Caenorhabditis elegans: one gene and its partner. The protein of the gene in region 2 purifies or fractionates together with the protein of the main gene of each other region. This does not show direct contact. Each region holds a gene or a part of one and is shown on either strand. Other genes may lie near its edges.

Region 1 (7,520 bases), on a different chromosome or scaffold from region 2:
GCAGTGGTACAATGTTTTATAACTCAATTTTGTTTTTTAATAGGAAATTTGAAAAAAATACTAGACTATTTACGTAAAGCTGTAAAAACGCAACATTTTTCAGGAAATCAGTCATCGGAAATTGCGTAGATTTGAAAATGTCTATGTGACGCCAAAGGAAATTCGTAAATATTATTTTTTAAAAGATTGTGGGAACCTAGTGATAAACTGACGGAATTTAGTATTGCAAAATATGAAAAATAGGGCAGAAGACGGCGGGGGGCAGGCATCATAAAAGGAGCTCGTTCGCTTCAAAATAATAATCCGCAAAAATAAGCTATCTACCCTTCTTTTTTATATTATATAGTCATAAAAATTAAATGGAGCGCTAACAAAATGTTAGGATTTCAAAAATGAATCTGTTCTGCTCGTTTTGACCCGTCAAAATTTGAATTTCGGCGCGAAAAGCTGAACTGGAGATTGTGAAGAACGAGGAGACGCAGAATGAGGGAGAGTTGGGTCGGGGAACATCTGGACAGCAGATGGAAATGAAAATGCTTAGAAGCCTTTAGAAGGAATTGCGAGAATATTATATGGATTGAGTTGGGAGCAAGTTGAGGGAAACGAGGCAATTACTGGATTGGAATAAAAAATAAGGACGTATTGGCGAGGGAATTGAATAAAAAAAAATAATTTTGAAATATAATTCTAAAAATACTGACAATCTTAACAAAAATCAAGGAAAAAAGCGATTAGAACAAAGAAATTTGTTTCGAATTCGAAAGCAAAAAAGTTCTACCATAAACCACTTTCGCGTCGAGACCCATTAGAATAATTCCATGTGTACCTTTAAGTGATATTACGGTAAATATTGATTCTTTCGAATGAGAATAGAATTAACTTTCGAAAGAAAGCTTTCCATAATTTTAGGAACCCAATTTCTGTTTGAATTTCCGAATTCTGTTTGAAAAACTGTACACAAAAACATTTATATTTTTTATTCAGCTCTCAAGAACCCAATATAAAGAAAGGAGCGTATTTCAATTCGTTTCGCATTTTGTTTCGTCTTTTAACCGCTTTCGTGTCCCTCAAAATGACCTTTGACGGTCATCCTTCTCTTTTTTTTTCAAATACTCTTTGTCAAAAGAGTCAAAGCCACTTTTTAAGATGAGTAGAAGACGTGGAAGCTAGAGAAAAGAGGAAGGGCATGACAGAGAATAACAAATTTGATTTGAAATCGAGAAAAAATACTTTGAGAGTGAAGAGTTAGCAATATACCAGGCAATTTTCATTAGAAAAGGGAAATATGACTAGAAAAGTGAGGAATAGATTTTTCAGTTTATTGACAGGTTTTTTTTCGAAAGTTCAAAACTCACGGTGAACTGTGGATTTATTGTGTTGAAGCCGTCAATATTTTGCAGATCGCAGAAACTGAAGAAAAAAAAATTATAATTCGAATTTTTCGCATAACTCATTTTCAAGAAAATTAGGGCGATGAAGAAACATAAGAACGAAAAAAAATTCTTAGCAAGAAAAAATGCCTTTCTTTCACACAAGAATGGCTAAAACGGGCGGAGCGTCGTTTCATCTAAGCTCTCTCACTTTTCAACGATTTCTAATGGCGAGTGCTCCGTTTTTGGTTGGTTGGGTGGTCAACAGAGAGGAGCGGCGGCGGCAAAAAAGGAATTGTTCTAAATCTCTCTGCTATGAGAACTCTCTAATTTCTCTCTTTTTTATGCGTTCTTTGACCGAAAACGAGGGAAAAAATGCGCTGAAAAATATTTTCAACTTCACGCAGAGGTCAGAGTGTCTCTTATATTCTCATTCTCCCTCGCCTGAGCCACCCTGACAACAACTAAAAGTTACCGTATTTAAAAAAAAAGGAATTCATTTTCATAAATCTAAAAATTTCAATAATTTTCTACTGATGAAATTGACTGAATCTTAAAAAAACTGACTGTAAAAAAACAACAAAAAAGACGGCAACTAAATGAGAACTACAGGAATACAAAAAAACGGACGAAAATGCATAGAAAAAACAAAAAAAAACAAAAGAGTGCCAGAAACCAGAAAGTGGTTTAAAAACTGGTTTTACGACAATCCTACAGCTACAGAGAAATATGAAAAACAAGAAGGGAAACAATTTTTTCAGCAAAAATTTAGAATTTTCGATCCGACTGTGACATGGCTAATTTGATTAAATGTTCCGTAGATTCATTGCGGTTGGGGAGGGATGAAGCCTGAAAAGTTTAATTTTTTTTTTCTATGTTTCAGTTTAAAAAATTACCATTTCAACAGCTTTTTGTGAATATGAATCAATCAATCTTCGCGTTTTATCCATTCCATCCGAATTTACAACAATTTCCCGTGCTTTTTCAGCATCTCCATCATGCTTGAATTTTCGAAGAAGCATCGTATTGAGCTCAGGATATTGCTCGCAAGCGTATAGTACCGGAGCAGTGGCGAGACCTAAAATATAAAAAATTTGAAAATTATTTTTTCTTCTTTTGCAAAAACTTGAAACTATATTATTCGTTTTCTTCTCAAAAAAACTCGTGGCGAGACCCACTCAGAAAACCATTTAAAATGAAGTGCCAAATTTTTACGAAATATCGGTAATTCCATTCACCTAATTTCAAATCAGCGGCCACAGGTTTTCCCATTTCATCAGCAGTCGCTATAAAATCAAGAAGATCGTCAGCAAGTTGGAAAGCGATTCCCAAATTTCGACCGTACTCGAACGCAATTTCATGAAGCTTCAAATCTGATCCATCTGAAAAAGGCCGATATGTTGCAAAGAAAATTGATGCAAAAACCACCTGCAAGAATAGCAGCAGACCGGCAACTACTGGCGAACAAACTGGCAGTTTTTCGATGAGTTTTTTCTATATAAGCCTTCATTCTGTCTACTGGTGTAGCATCTGTTGGAGTTGTTGACATTTGCATAAATTCACCCTAAAATATTATTTATTAGAAGAAAATTTGAAAATTTATAGCTGTATAAATATTCAAATTTCATTATAAATAAATAAATAAATTGATTAAAACCTACTAAAACCAAATCTTCAATAATCGACGCCATAACTGAAATGATGTTGGGTTTTCCGATGGAGCAAAGAATCTGCGTGGCACGAGCAAGAATGAAATCTCCGACGAGCACTGACTGAAAATGTTTTTTAACATAAATTTAGAAGTTTTTATCCCTAAAAACTTCTTCTAAGTTTACAAGAGAAAAATTTATGCGCAAGAGGTTACTGTAGAGCGACCAAATTTTCGATTTTTCTGTTTGCCAGGTTTTCACAGTTTTTCTCCAAAAAATATAGTTTTAATCAACATTTCTAAAATCTAAAAATAATTTTTTTGCAGAGAAAGCTGCTTTAAAAGCTGAAAATTTTGGAAAATTCAGCAAAAAAAGAATAAATTTGTCGGATTACAGTATCCAATTTGTTTTGAAAATTCTTTATTTTTTATAGATCGTGATATGTTATATTCAAGATTAAAATTTTGTTTTAATTTCAAAAAATCTACCATTTTATTTCCCCAAACAGCATTGACACTAGCTGATCCACGCCTTGTATTCGCCTCATCAATGACGTCATCGTGCACTAGAGACGCTGTATGGATCATTTCGGCTGTAAATTTCTTTATTTCTCTTTTCCGACTATTCATAGTCTTACCAATCATTCCTATTTTGTACTGATTTTGACATACTGATAAATGAGCGGCGATCCCTGATCGTTCTGTTGACAACATTGCCAGGTACTCTTCTCTGCAAAAAAACTTTTTTTCGTTTTTGATCAGTAAACATTTTATTAGTGAACATCAATACGGGCTGCCAAACTCCATTAGACTAACTACTGTTAGAATTGTACTACGACATGTGAAAAGTTAAATTGAAAATTGTTTTGAAAAGTTCATGGTATGTAGTCATTTCAGCACCATAGGAATATTTTAAAATTAGTTTCATTTTCATCAATATGAAGTTATGCCAAAAATAGCAAAATCATTTTCTCCTGTGCACTATCTACGTAAATCAGACTGCTCTTCTTTTTCAGATATAAAAAGTTTTCCATGTAATAAACTTACGAAATTGAACGATTCGCTGCGGAATTACAAGCATTTCCCATAAGAAGCGATACAGTCGGCCGTAACATTTTTCCACCCTGAAATTTTCAATGTCTATGAGTTGGAAAAATATATTTTTAGAAACCTGTTGAAAATAATAATGTGTCATTCGTCCTAAATTCGATGTAACATTCAAGTCTGCTAGATTTTCAACGGCACCCGATTCATCCTGTGGTATTAGTTGTACCATTATATCGTTCTGAAATTTCAGTTTTTTGGTTAAACTTTTATTGAATTTAGTGAATTATAAACCTGCATTTGTCTAACATGTTCCTGCACGAAAGCTGTTGAAGCAACACTATTATCTGATGAGGATGTAGATGTTGATGTGGCTGCCATTGAACATTTTCTGCAATTTTTTTTTGAATTTCGGAAATTTAAAATTTCAAAAGTTGTTACCTGAACTGCCTTGCGACAATATTGATTTTCGGTAGAACACCCATAATTATCTTCTATTCTTGATTCTTTATACCAGTTTTTGTTTCTTTCAGTGCTCAAAAACTAGTTTCACCGGCGGCTCATGTGGGTTTAGGAGGTCTGAAAGTGAATGAAGATAAGTTTTTTGAAAAGTGAATGATGCAAATTGAGGCTTCTGAGAATGCCAAAAGAGTCATTGATAACAGATATAACTGTCCATTCAGGAGAGGAAACAGCTGATAATTGAAATTCGCATTAAAGATGTGATTGACGTGATTAAAAGTAAAAAGGAGTATAGTTATAACCGAGAATTTTGAATAAATTATATTATTATAGCCTAAACACTTTGAAAATGCCAATGAAAATTTTGGAGTAATTTTGAGAGGAACTTTATTTTAATAATATCTCTGATTTTTTTTCAATGTTAGATTGGTAAATAATTTTTTGGATTAGAAAAGAAAATATAGAAACCAGGAACTAGTTTTTATATTTTTTTTATTTGCCAAATTTTGAATTGAATTCAATTTTATATACACTGATTGATTCAAGCAACCAGTGTACTTCTCAAGATTTTACAGTTTTCGACCATTTTCACTAATTATTGCATCAATTGGCATTTATATCACCAATTTATCTCTTATTTATAGTATGTTATCTGAAAACCATACGTCCATTTTTAAATATTGTTAAATACTTTAAATATTAGAGAATCATTATTTTCAACTAGAGATTCACAGAAGTCTCTCCGAATACAGTTTATTCGGAAAAATAAAAATAAATTAGTTGTTGTATAAAGGTGATCAGAAAGATGGAAAATGAATGTAGCCTCCCACTTTTCCCCTTTTCACCGCCGAAGATCGCTTCTCTTTTTCTCTGTGCTCTCTCTTTCTTACGCACTTCGTCCCTATCTCAGTGTTCTTTGAATTCTCTTTTCTCTAGCAAAAAAGAATATATTTTTTATCAAATTTTGTTTCTTTCTCTCTTTGGTTCGAGTTTATCGAGAATAAAGAAGATCGATAGATAATTTTCAAAAGGAACAAATAAAAATATTTGTGAAAAATTTGGTCAATCACCTTTGACAAGTAGATGAATCGGATTGAATCCATTTAACCGCCAAAACAAAAAGGTTATTGAAGAAATAGAAAGAATAAATATATTCATTCGTTTCTGTTAACATTGTTGATTGTTTTTGAATTTAAGATTCAAAAAATTTTTGAAATAAAATTGAATCTAAAAACAAAAAAAAGACAGGGATAGAGACATGGGAAAACGAAGAATAAAACCGCGCATCACAGACAGGAATTGACTAAAACTTTCAGAGAGATGAATAGGAAAGAAATGGATTTTGATTGGCAAAAGAACAACAATCCGATGGAATAACATAGTAATGTATAGTTTTTTGTGGAAATCGGGGATTAAATAGTTGTGTGTGGGGGGACCTCGTAGAAACCAAGAAATAAAACCAAAACCAATGGAAAATTGACCGAATAAAACTGAAAATTAAAAAAAAAGAACACCAGAGAAATGCAAAACAAGGCCATGTTGCAATTGTGATATAAAGCTCTGTTATAAACAAAAATGAAAAATCAAAGAAATTAAAGTTCCGTTTTGTCAAGAATTGTGTATCTCGAAGAAGCAGGCTTCAACTTCTCGAATGTAGACGGTGGTGGCTCAGTGTCCGGTGCTTGATTTCCAGTCTGAAATGTCTTACGAAAATTGTAAATATGGTCTTTGGAAATAAGTACTGCAATTTTTTCAATAAAAATACGGTACCGAATCTCGAAAAGGCAAATTTTTGAAAAATACAAAAGGTGCGCGCCTTTAAAGAGTACTGTAATTTCAAGATTTATTTTTTCTTGAATTTTTTATTGACTTTTCGATCAGAAAAGGAAATTTATTTTAAAAAAAAATCAGATATAACAATAATTTTTTAATAATTTTTTTCAAATCGAGAAAAAAAAAGAAAAATCAATAAAAAACCGCAGCAACTAATTTTAAATTACAGTAATCTTTAAAGGCGCATACCTTTTCACATTTGACAAAAATTTGTCGTTTCGAGACCCGTTTACCGTATTTTTGACGGAAAAAGCACAACATTTCGCGTCTGGGAAAAATATTTAGAAAAAATCATCCCAACCATAATTTTTTTTAAATCTTCTAATAATTCGGAGTTTTTTTTTCAATTTTCAGTTAAAGCTTCATTTATTTTGTTTTTTTTTCATAGAAAATTCCCAATTTGAGGGATTTTCCGTCCTGAAAATCTCATGAAATTTGTAATTTTACATTTTTCAAGGATTTTTAGAGACTTTTTTAAAGGTGGTATAGAAAAAAGTCTGGTTCAGATAATAAAAAAAAATTCGTTTACTAACTTTTCAATAAATTTCATAAAAATTTCAAAAACCAAAAAACTCCCAAAAAGTGACACTTACCACTGGATCTGGACCATGGTGGAATTCGCGATGAAGCTTTCCGCTGTGCAGATCGAGCACGAATTCGCGGAGTTTTCCGGGGACGCTGAAATAATTTTGTTTGTTTATATAATCCATTTTCCAGATCTTACTTGACATCTTCGAAATTCTTGAATAAATACATATGTCGGAAAGAATCAATTGCAATGACTGGAAGATCGGATTCCGATTTACCCAAGTGACTGAGTGGATGCTTGAAGATTGTTCCATCACCGACCAAGCAGTTAATTGCTGAAATTATTCATTTTAAAATCTAAAAAAACTCGAATAAAATACCTTTTCTCTGATCAGGAAGTTCTCGAACAATTGCATCAGTGAAGATCTTCTCACTGACTTTATCATCAGATTTCTTGAAAAGAATCATAAATGGAAGTCCTTCTTCAGTCAATTCTTCTGCATTTTGGAATGTGATTTCACGAACTAATGGCACACATTTGTCAGCAACCCATTGTCTGAAAATTTAATTTTACAATAATTATTTTTTTTACAGTCTCCTCGGCTCGAAATTGGTTCCTTGCCCCTTTTTAAATT
Region 2 (6,762 bases):
TTGCTCAATTTCTGGCGATAGGTAGCTGAAAATCACAACATGTTCCGTAAAAGAAATGACAATCATCTGGAAACTGACAACAACAACTGCTCAGTGGTATAATTTGTGCACCATGTGAGATCAACTTCATAGTTGGCCAAATCAAGGCACGCGTCATTTCCACACATCATGACTGAATCTCCGAAAATCTTTTTTCTCTGATGGTCGGCGGTTTCAGCTAGTTTTTCGAGTCTGGTCCATGAGATCCAAGCTGATTTTAAGATTGTCATCTGAAATTAACACTTAGAAACTTTGCAATTGAAAACTATTCCAAAAAAACCCTATCCTGCCCAACAAACGCAGCCGACAATGATCGAGGCCCGCGTTGTGTTGCTCACTAAAGCAGCAGACATCAATCGAGGCTCGCGCTGTATTGCTCAAAAACGCAGCAGACATCAATCTGGCCCGCCTGATATCGCTCACAACCGCAGCCGACATCAGTGGAGGTCTACAAAGCATTTACCTTTGATAGCTCATCCAGTGCATTGAATTCCGAAAAATTTGAGAACCATTCAACAGCTCTCAGAAAAGCCTGCTCCCAAATCAGAAGCGATTCTTCTTGCCCGATTTTTCGAAGCATTTTTATTTTCTCATCGGGCTCTCTGGATCGGATTTCTTCTAGAGATAGAGCTAGTCTTTCAAGACTGTTATGAAATTGGTAGGGAATTTTAGTTGAGACATCCTGAAAAATAAATAGATTTTTCGTTGAAGCTTCAAGAAATTTGACTAACTCTTTTCAGAATATCCCTTGCCACATCTACCATATATGTGACATTTATCAATGTCTTGATATGCGATGCTCTTGTCGGCTCACAGCATAATAAAAGTGTTGGGCGGCCGAGAAATGTTGATAGGGATTGTGGAGGTGGTTCGATTAAGGAAACACGTTTTTGAAATTTATTGGAGCTGGAGATTAGGTCTCTGTTGCATTGAAATTCTGAAAATTAACCTTTTGTAAGTTGCAGATTTTGGATTTATTTTTCGTGTTGGAAAAAAATTAAACGTTTAGTTCGAACATAATTTAGAAGTTGTGAATCGAAAATTATAAACAACATTTAAAAAGTAAAAATTTGAATTTCGTTTCAAAATTCTGTAAGTTTCGGAATAATTAATTTTTAAAATCCTAGAAAAATTTCTAAAAAGTTGTTTTAATTTTATTTTAAATGTATTTAATTTTTAATTAAAAAATCAAATAAAGTGATGCCAAATTTTTTCACATTTTGTAAACTTGTGAGCTTCGTATTAAATTTTGCATTAATATTTTTTATAAATTTAAATATTTCCTGGTTTTTTTTTCGAAAACTCACTTGTTTCGTCCATTCCTACCTCCAAACATCGTTTCATACGGCACTTTTTGCATTTGAATCTAAAAAAAGTAATACAATTTTTGGAAATCGTTTTCATTTATTTGAACAAAATTTTAAAATTTTACTTTATAAGGTGTTCAAAAATTTATTTTTATTTTATTTTTACAAAGCGAAAATTGAGCTCTTACTTTCCATTTTCCAATAATTTGCAATTTCCATTTGGGCATCTTCCAAATATTCTGGAGCATGTCGCAGCTCTTCTGAAATTTTTTTAGCTTCAAAACAATATTTCCGAAAAATTAAATTGGGTACCTGAAAAACGCAGCACACGACCTGCAACTCATCACTCCAAAATGGCGTCCCGAAGTTTTTTGGCCACAAATTTCGCAGGGCCCCGACAAGAATAGAGGAGCAGGCATTTTTACTGATTAGAAAAAAACTGAAATTTCCAGTTTTCAAAAAAAGTGAAAAATACAAGAATGTCTATTTTTATAGATCGCAAAACTTGAAAAATTCACATGACAACGAAAAGGCCAGCAACGAGAAGACATGGAGAGACGCAGGGTGTAAAAGGAAAAAAATGTAAAGACGGAGCATGTGAGAGCAAGTTAGTTTTAGATAAAACATTGTTTCTGTGGGAAATTACAGAACTTATTCAAAAATAAATCAATAAGTTTGAAAAAAAACTTCATTCAAAAAAATGCTCAATAAATGTGGTGCGTCCTAACCAATATATGAGCGGGGCTTAATATTTTAATTTTTGTGCAAACGTTTTAGGAAAAGTCTATAAAATTAAGCCCCGCCCATTTCTTGGTTTTTATGCTAAAAGACAATGCAAAAAAGTCCAAATCATGGATCTCTAATATTTGCCTAGTTGATTCTAAGTTGATAATTCCAAGAATACAGTTATGTGTGTGGCATTTAAGTTGTGTCATACATCTCAGGGTGGGAAAAATCAACTTTTAAAATATCAAAAACATCTGCTATCCGTTTTTTATCAATCCGCAATCTCAAATCTGCCTCCAATAATCGATTGATTTTCATCAACTGCGACAACCGCGACGAGTAATTCGGCATTTTCAATTTCTCAACATAATACTTATGTAAATTATCCGCCTGAGCTTCCAACAACATTTCAGCAACTTCCATGACTTTGCCCTGTCCTTTACTCCCGGCATGGTATAGGGAAAGCTGTAGGAGCATGTAGCTGACTTCAATGCCACTAGGATCCAGATCTTTAATATATTGGAGTACTTCACAATAGTTTTTGATGTCTTCAGGAGTTAGAAAGAAGCTGTAATAGTTCACTTGTTAGTTTTAAGTTTTTTTTTTCAAATAGAAAAATCTTACTACGCAAGCTGCTCCAGCGAATAGTTTGTGCACCAAGATAGGTCAACTTCATAGTCGTTCATATCCATACAACACTCGTTTCCAACCATTAAAATCGAGTCTCCGAAAACACCATTTTTCTGATTAGCCGCTGTTTCAAAAATTTTATCCAGACGAGTCCAAGCGACCCATGAAGTTTTTACGATTTCGAGCTGAAAAATTTTTTTTTAATCAGAAAATTTCTAGATTTCAGAACGGCTTACCTTCACACTTTCATCTAATTCTCTGAACTCTGGAAAGTAGGAAAACCATTCGACAACTCTGAGGAAACCTTGCTCCCAAGTGTAAAGAGATTCGTCTCTGCCAAGTTTCTTTATGAATTTTATTCCTTCATTGGCTTTGAGGCTCCGCATTTTGTCGAGTGAGGAGGAGAGGATTTCCAGGCTATTGGAGCAGGAGGGCATGTTTGGGAATGTGGGTTTCTGGAATTAACTAGCTCTTCTGAAAGTGTGAACAATGAGCTTAACGATCTAGAAATTATCTTCAAATCTGTGCCTAGGTCATGTACTTTTTTTTATCTGAAACTCATTGTCCGTAATTTCACACCGAAATTCAGACAACAAGCGCAGGCATGAGGAAGGCACGGGGTAATCATGTAGACATGAAATAGGTTAACCTACTTTCTGTAGCATATTTCTAGCAATATCAATCAAATAGGTCACATCTATGGTCAACTTGACCGGTGACGCTTTATCGGGCTCACAGCACAACATAAACTCCGGCCGGCCGAGAAATGTGGCCAGTGATTGAGGACGTGTGATTATTGCAGGTTTTTTGCATGCGGAAGATATAGAATCTCGATTTGTTTGAAATTCTGAAATTTATAAGTAAAAATACACTAGATTTTGCAGACAACTCACTGCTAATATCCATGCCAACATCTATGCACTTTTTGAGCCGACACTGCTTGCAATTCAGACTGGAATTAGTTTTTGAATTAGTTTAGCGTTGGTTTAAAAACTAACTTTTTATTTTCAAAACTTGCACAATTTCCTCTGGGACAATGGGCCTTTTTTGGGCTCCAAAGTGCAGCTCTTCTGAATTTAAAACTTTTTTCAGAAAAATTGAAACAGTAACAAGAAAACCTGAAAAATGCCGCACATGCTCGACAACTCAGCACACCAAAATGTTTGCCAGAAGTGTTCTGACCGCAAATTTTGCAGGGTCCCGAAAGGAATAAAGATGCGGGCATCTGGAATATATATAGGGCAGTAATTGGCTAAAAATCCAATTCAGATATATAAAATGGTACATAAACGACCATAAATACATAACATTGAGAATTTGAGGTTATGTAAACTTTTTATGTCGCTTCAAACATCTCTGGGTGAGAAAAATCAATTTTCATAATATTAAACACGTCGGCAATTTGTTTCTTCTCAATTCGAATCCTTATATCTGCCTCCAACGTCCTTGTGATTCTCATCAACTGCGTCAGTCGTGACGAATAATTTGCCAACTTCAATTTCTCCACATAATATTTATGCAAGTTGTTTGCCTGAACTTGCACTAAATTTTCAGTAGCATCCAGTGCATCTCCATGTAATCGTTTTCCTGCGTGCTCCAGAGAAAGATGTAGGAGCATGTAACTGACTTCAATGCTGCTGGGATTCAAATCGATCATATCCTGTATCGACTGTTGGAAGTTTTTCTTACCATTCGGTGTTTGAAAAAAGCTGGAAACATCTATTAGGACTCAACGCAACAACAAGGCAACACTCACTATTTCAGCTGCTCCAACGAATAATTCGTGCACCAAGATAAATCAATCTCGAAGTTGTTCATATTCATACATGCACCATTACCGACCATCAACTGCGATTTACCGAGCATTTTGTTAATCTGCTTGTTAGCCGTTTCCGATAGCTTATCCAACCGTGTCCAGGAGAACCAACATGACTTTACAATTTCCAACTGAATACAATTTTCTTTTAATTAACTTTAGACAGTAAAAATAAAATTCTATTATAGAACTCACCTTCAAACGTTCATTCAATTCTCTGAATTCTGAAAAATTGGAAAACCATTCCACAACTCGAAGAAATCCCTGTTCCCAAGATTTCAAAGTTTCTACTTTTCCATATTTTTCGATAAATTTTACTTCCTTGTTCGATTCGACACATCGCATGTTGTCGAGCGTTGTGGCCAGTTGTTCAAGACTGTTTGAGGGCAAAACATGGTTTGTTGGCTGAAACGCTACCTTGAATTCTTTTCAAAAAAATTATATGCAGAGCGGGAGTTGGGTACAGTAGGCCTTTCACGAGGGCGCTCGCCCCACGCCATAGCCTTTCCCATGCGCATAACTATTATAATACCGCGCCGGACTCTGCAGCGTCAGCTGCAGTACACAAGGTGTACTGCGCGGTGTACACTTTTCATGCCTCGCCGAAAGTCTGACCATGGATACGGGGGGCTTGAAATCGTGACCTCAAGATTGCTAGCTGCGACCACTACCGTCTGAACCATTCCAGCTCCTCTGCACCACCTGCTATTTTCTGATTTTTGCATACCTTCTGCAACATGTCCCTTGCGATATTCACTAAACGAGTAACGTCTATTGTTGTCTTCAACACTGATGCTCTGTCTGGCTCGCAGCACAAAATGAACTCGGGTCGACCGAGAAATGTGGCCAAAGACTGAGAAATAGCAGAACACGAAATAAGGTCTCGATCTGTCTGGAATCCTGAAATCAAACGTATAGTGATTTTTAAACATTGAACTTTTGACTCACTTCTAGTATCCATGCCTACATCTAAACACTTTTTTAGTCGGCATTGTTTGCAGTTGAATCTGCAAATTATTAATTTTTAAAATTTGCTGTAAAACTTGAAAAAAAATTTCCTTACTTTCCATTAACGCTAGTATGACAGGTTCCGTTTGGGCATATCCTCTTTTCTAGGTTCCATGTTGCTGCTCTTCTGTAAATTTTGTTCTTAAATAATTATTTTACAAAAGCTGCAAACCTGAAAAATGCGGCACAAGCCCGACAACTCATTACTCCAAAGTGTCTTCCGGAAGTTTTGTCCCCGCAAACTTCACAGGATCCCGAGAGGAATAACGGTGCGGGCATCTGAATAATATTTCGAAAGAAAATAATTTTTTTTGCGCTGAAATTCAAATAATTACATTAAATATTCAAAGTGTTATATTATACATATGAGTACACTTTCGTTGATAAAGTAAAAAATTAACAAAAAAACGGTTAGCTTTCAATTTTTATGCAGAGGATCTTAAGTCGTTTCAAACATTTCTGGATGGGAAAACTGAATTTTGAAAATATTAAAAACATCTGCAACTTTCTTCTTTTCAATTCGAAGTCTCATGTCTGCCTCCAAAGTCCTAGTTATCTTCATCAATTGTGTCAATCTTGACGAGTAATTTGACAACTTCAATTTCTTCGCGTAATAATCATGCAATTGATTTGCCTGGGCTTGAACTAAACTTTCAGTAGCCTCCAGTATATCTCCCTGCAATCTTTTTCCCGCGTGCTCCAGAGAAAGCTGCAGGAGCATGTAGCTGATTTCAGTGCTACTTGGGTTGAGATCAACCATATCTTGTATCAACTGACGGTAGTTCTTCTCGTCGTCCGGGGTGAGGAAAAAACTGAAAATCCGATTTTAAGATTTGTGAGTGATACGCATAGCCCGACATTTAACGGGTTAGTGTTTTGGAACCCGGTAGATGTCGCTCAGAACTCACAAGGCCAATTGCTCCAACGAATAATTCGTACACCATGATAAATCAACTTCATAATCATTCATATGCATGCAAGAATCATTTCCAACCATCAAAAGCGAGTTGTCGAGAGTTGCGTTCACCCGTTTGTTAGCAGTTTCCGATAGCTTATCCAACCGGATCCATGAGACCCAGCAAGTTTTTAAAATTTCCATCTGAAAAAAAATACAAAAAAGTTAGTAACCTTATATGCTAAAAGTTAAGAACCTTTAAGTTCTCATCCAGTTCCCGAAATTCTGAAAAATTGGAGAACCACTCCACCGCTCGGAGAAACCCTTGTTCCCAGGTTTTG

What was found.
Region 1: the proteins of nhr-126 (region 2) and coq-1 fractionate together in Caenorhabditis elegans (co-fractionation; one large-scale study listed by BioGRID). This does not show direct contact.

What each region holds. Positions count from the first base shown.
Region 1 is NC_003279.8:5,410,989-5,418,508, forward strand, and holds coq-1 (All trans-polyprenyl-diphosphate synthase PDSS1), read right to left. Parts: upstream 4,642-7,520; 5' UTR 4,548-4,641; coding exon 4,504-4,547; intron 4,454-4,503; coding exon 4,357-4,453; intron 4,304-4,356; coding exon 4,190-4,303; intron 4,143-4,189; coding exon 4,066-4,142; intron 3,749-4,065; coding exon 3,657-3,748; intron 3,612-3,656; coding exon 3,508-3,611; intron 3,143-3,507; coding exon 3,032-3,142; intron 2,935-3,031; coding exon 2,799-2,934; intron 2,753-2,798; coding exon 2,609-2,752; intron 2,449-2,608; coding exon 2,267-2,448; intron 2,220-2,266; coding exon 2,139-2,219; 3' UTR 1,853-2,138; downstream 1-1,852. Other genes in the region: erp-44.1 (Thioredoxin domain-containing protein), read right to left, coding at 6,117-6,218, 6,951-7,035, 7,082-7,220, 7,266-7,441.
Region 2 is NC_003283.11:2,226,246-2,233,007, reverse strand, and holds nhr-126 (Nuclear Hormone Receptor family), read right to left. Parts: upstream 3,928-6,762; coding exon 3,821-3,927; intron 3,773-3,820; coding exon 3,701-3,772; intron 3,655-3,700; coding exon 3,596-3,654; intron 3,550-3,595; coding exon 3,356-3,549; intron 3,158-3,355; coding exon 2,939-3,157; intron 2,888-2,938; coding exon 2,697-2,887; intron 2,641-2,696; coding exon 2,268-2,640; 3' UTR 2,024-2,267; downstream 1-2,023. Other genes in the region: Nuclear hormone receptor family member nhr-134, read right to left, coding at 1-25, 79-269, 503-721, 771-976, 1,347-1,405, 1,535-1,606, 1,659-1,765; Nuclear hormone receptor family member nhr-18, read right to left, coding at 4,039-4,411, 4,459-4,649, 4,714-4,923, 5,246-5,418, 5,467-5,525, 5,582-5,653, 5,699-5,805; Nuclear hormone receptor family member nhr-103, read right to left, coding at 5,966-6,338, 6,435-6,625, 6,678-6,762.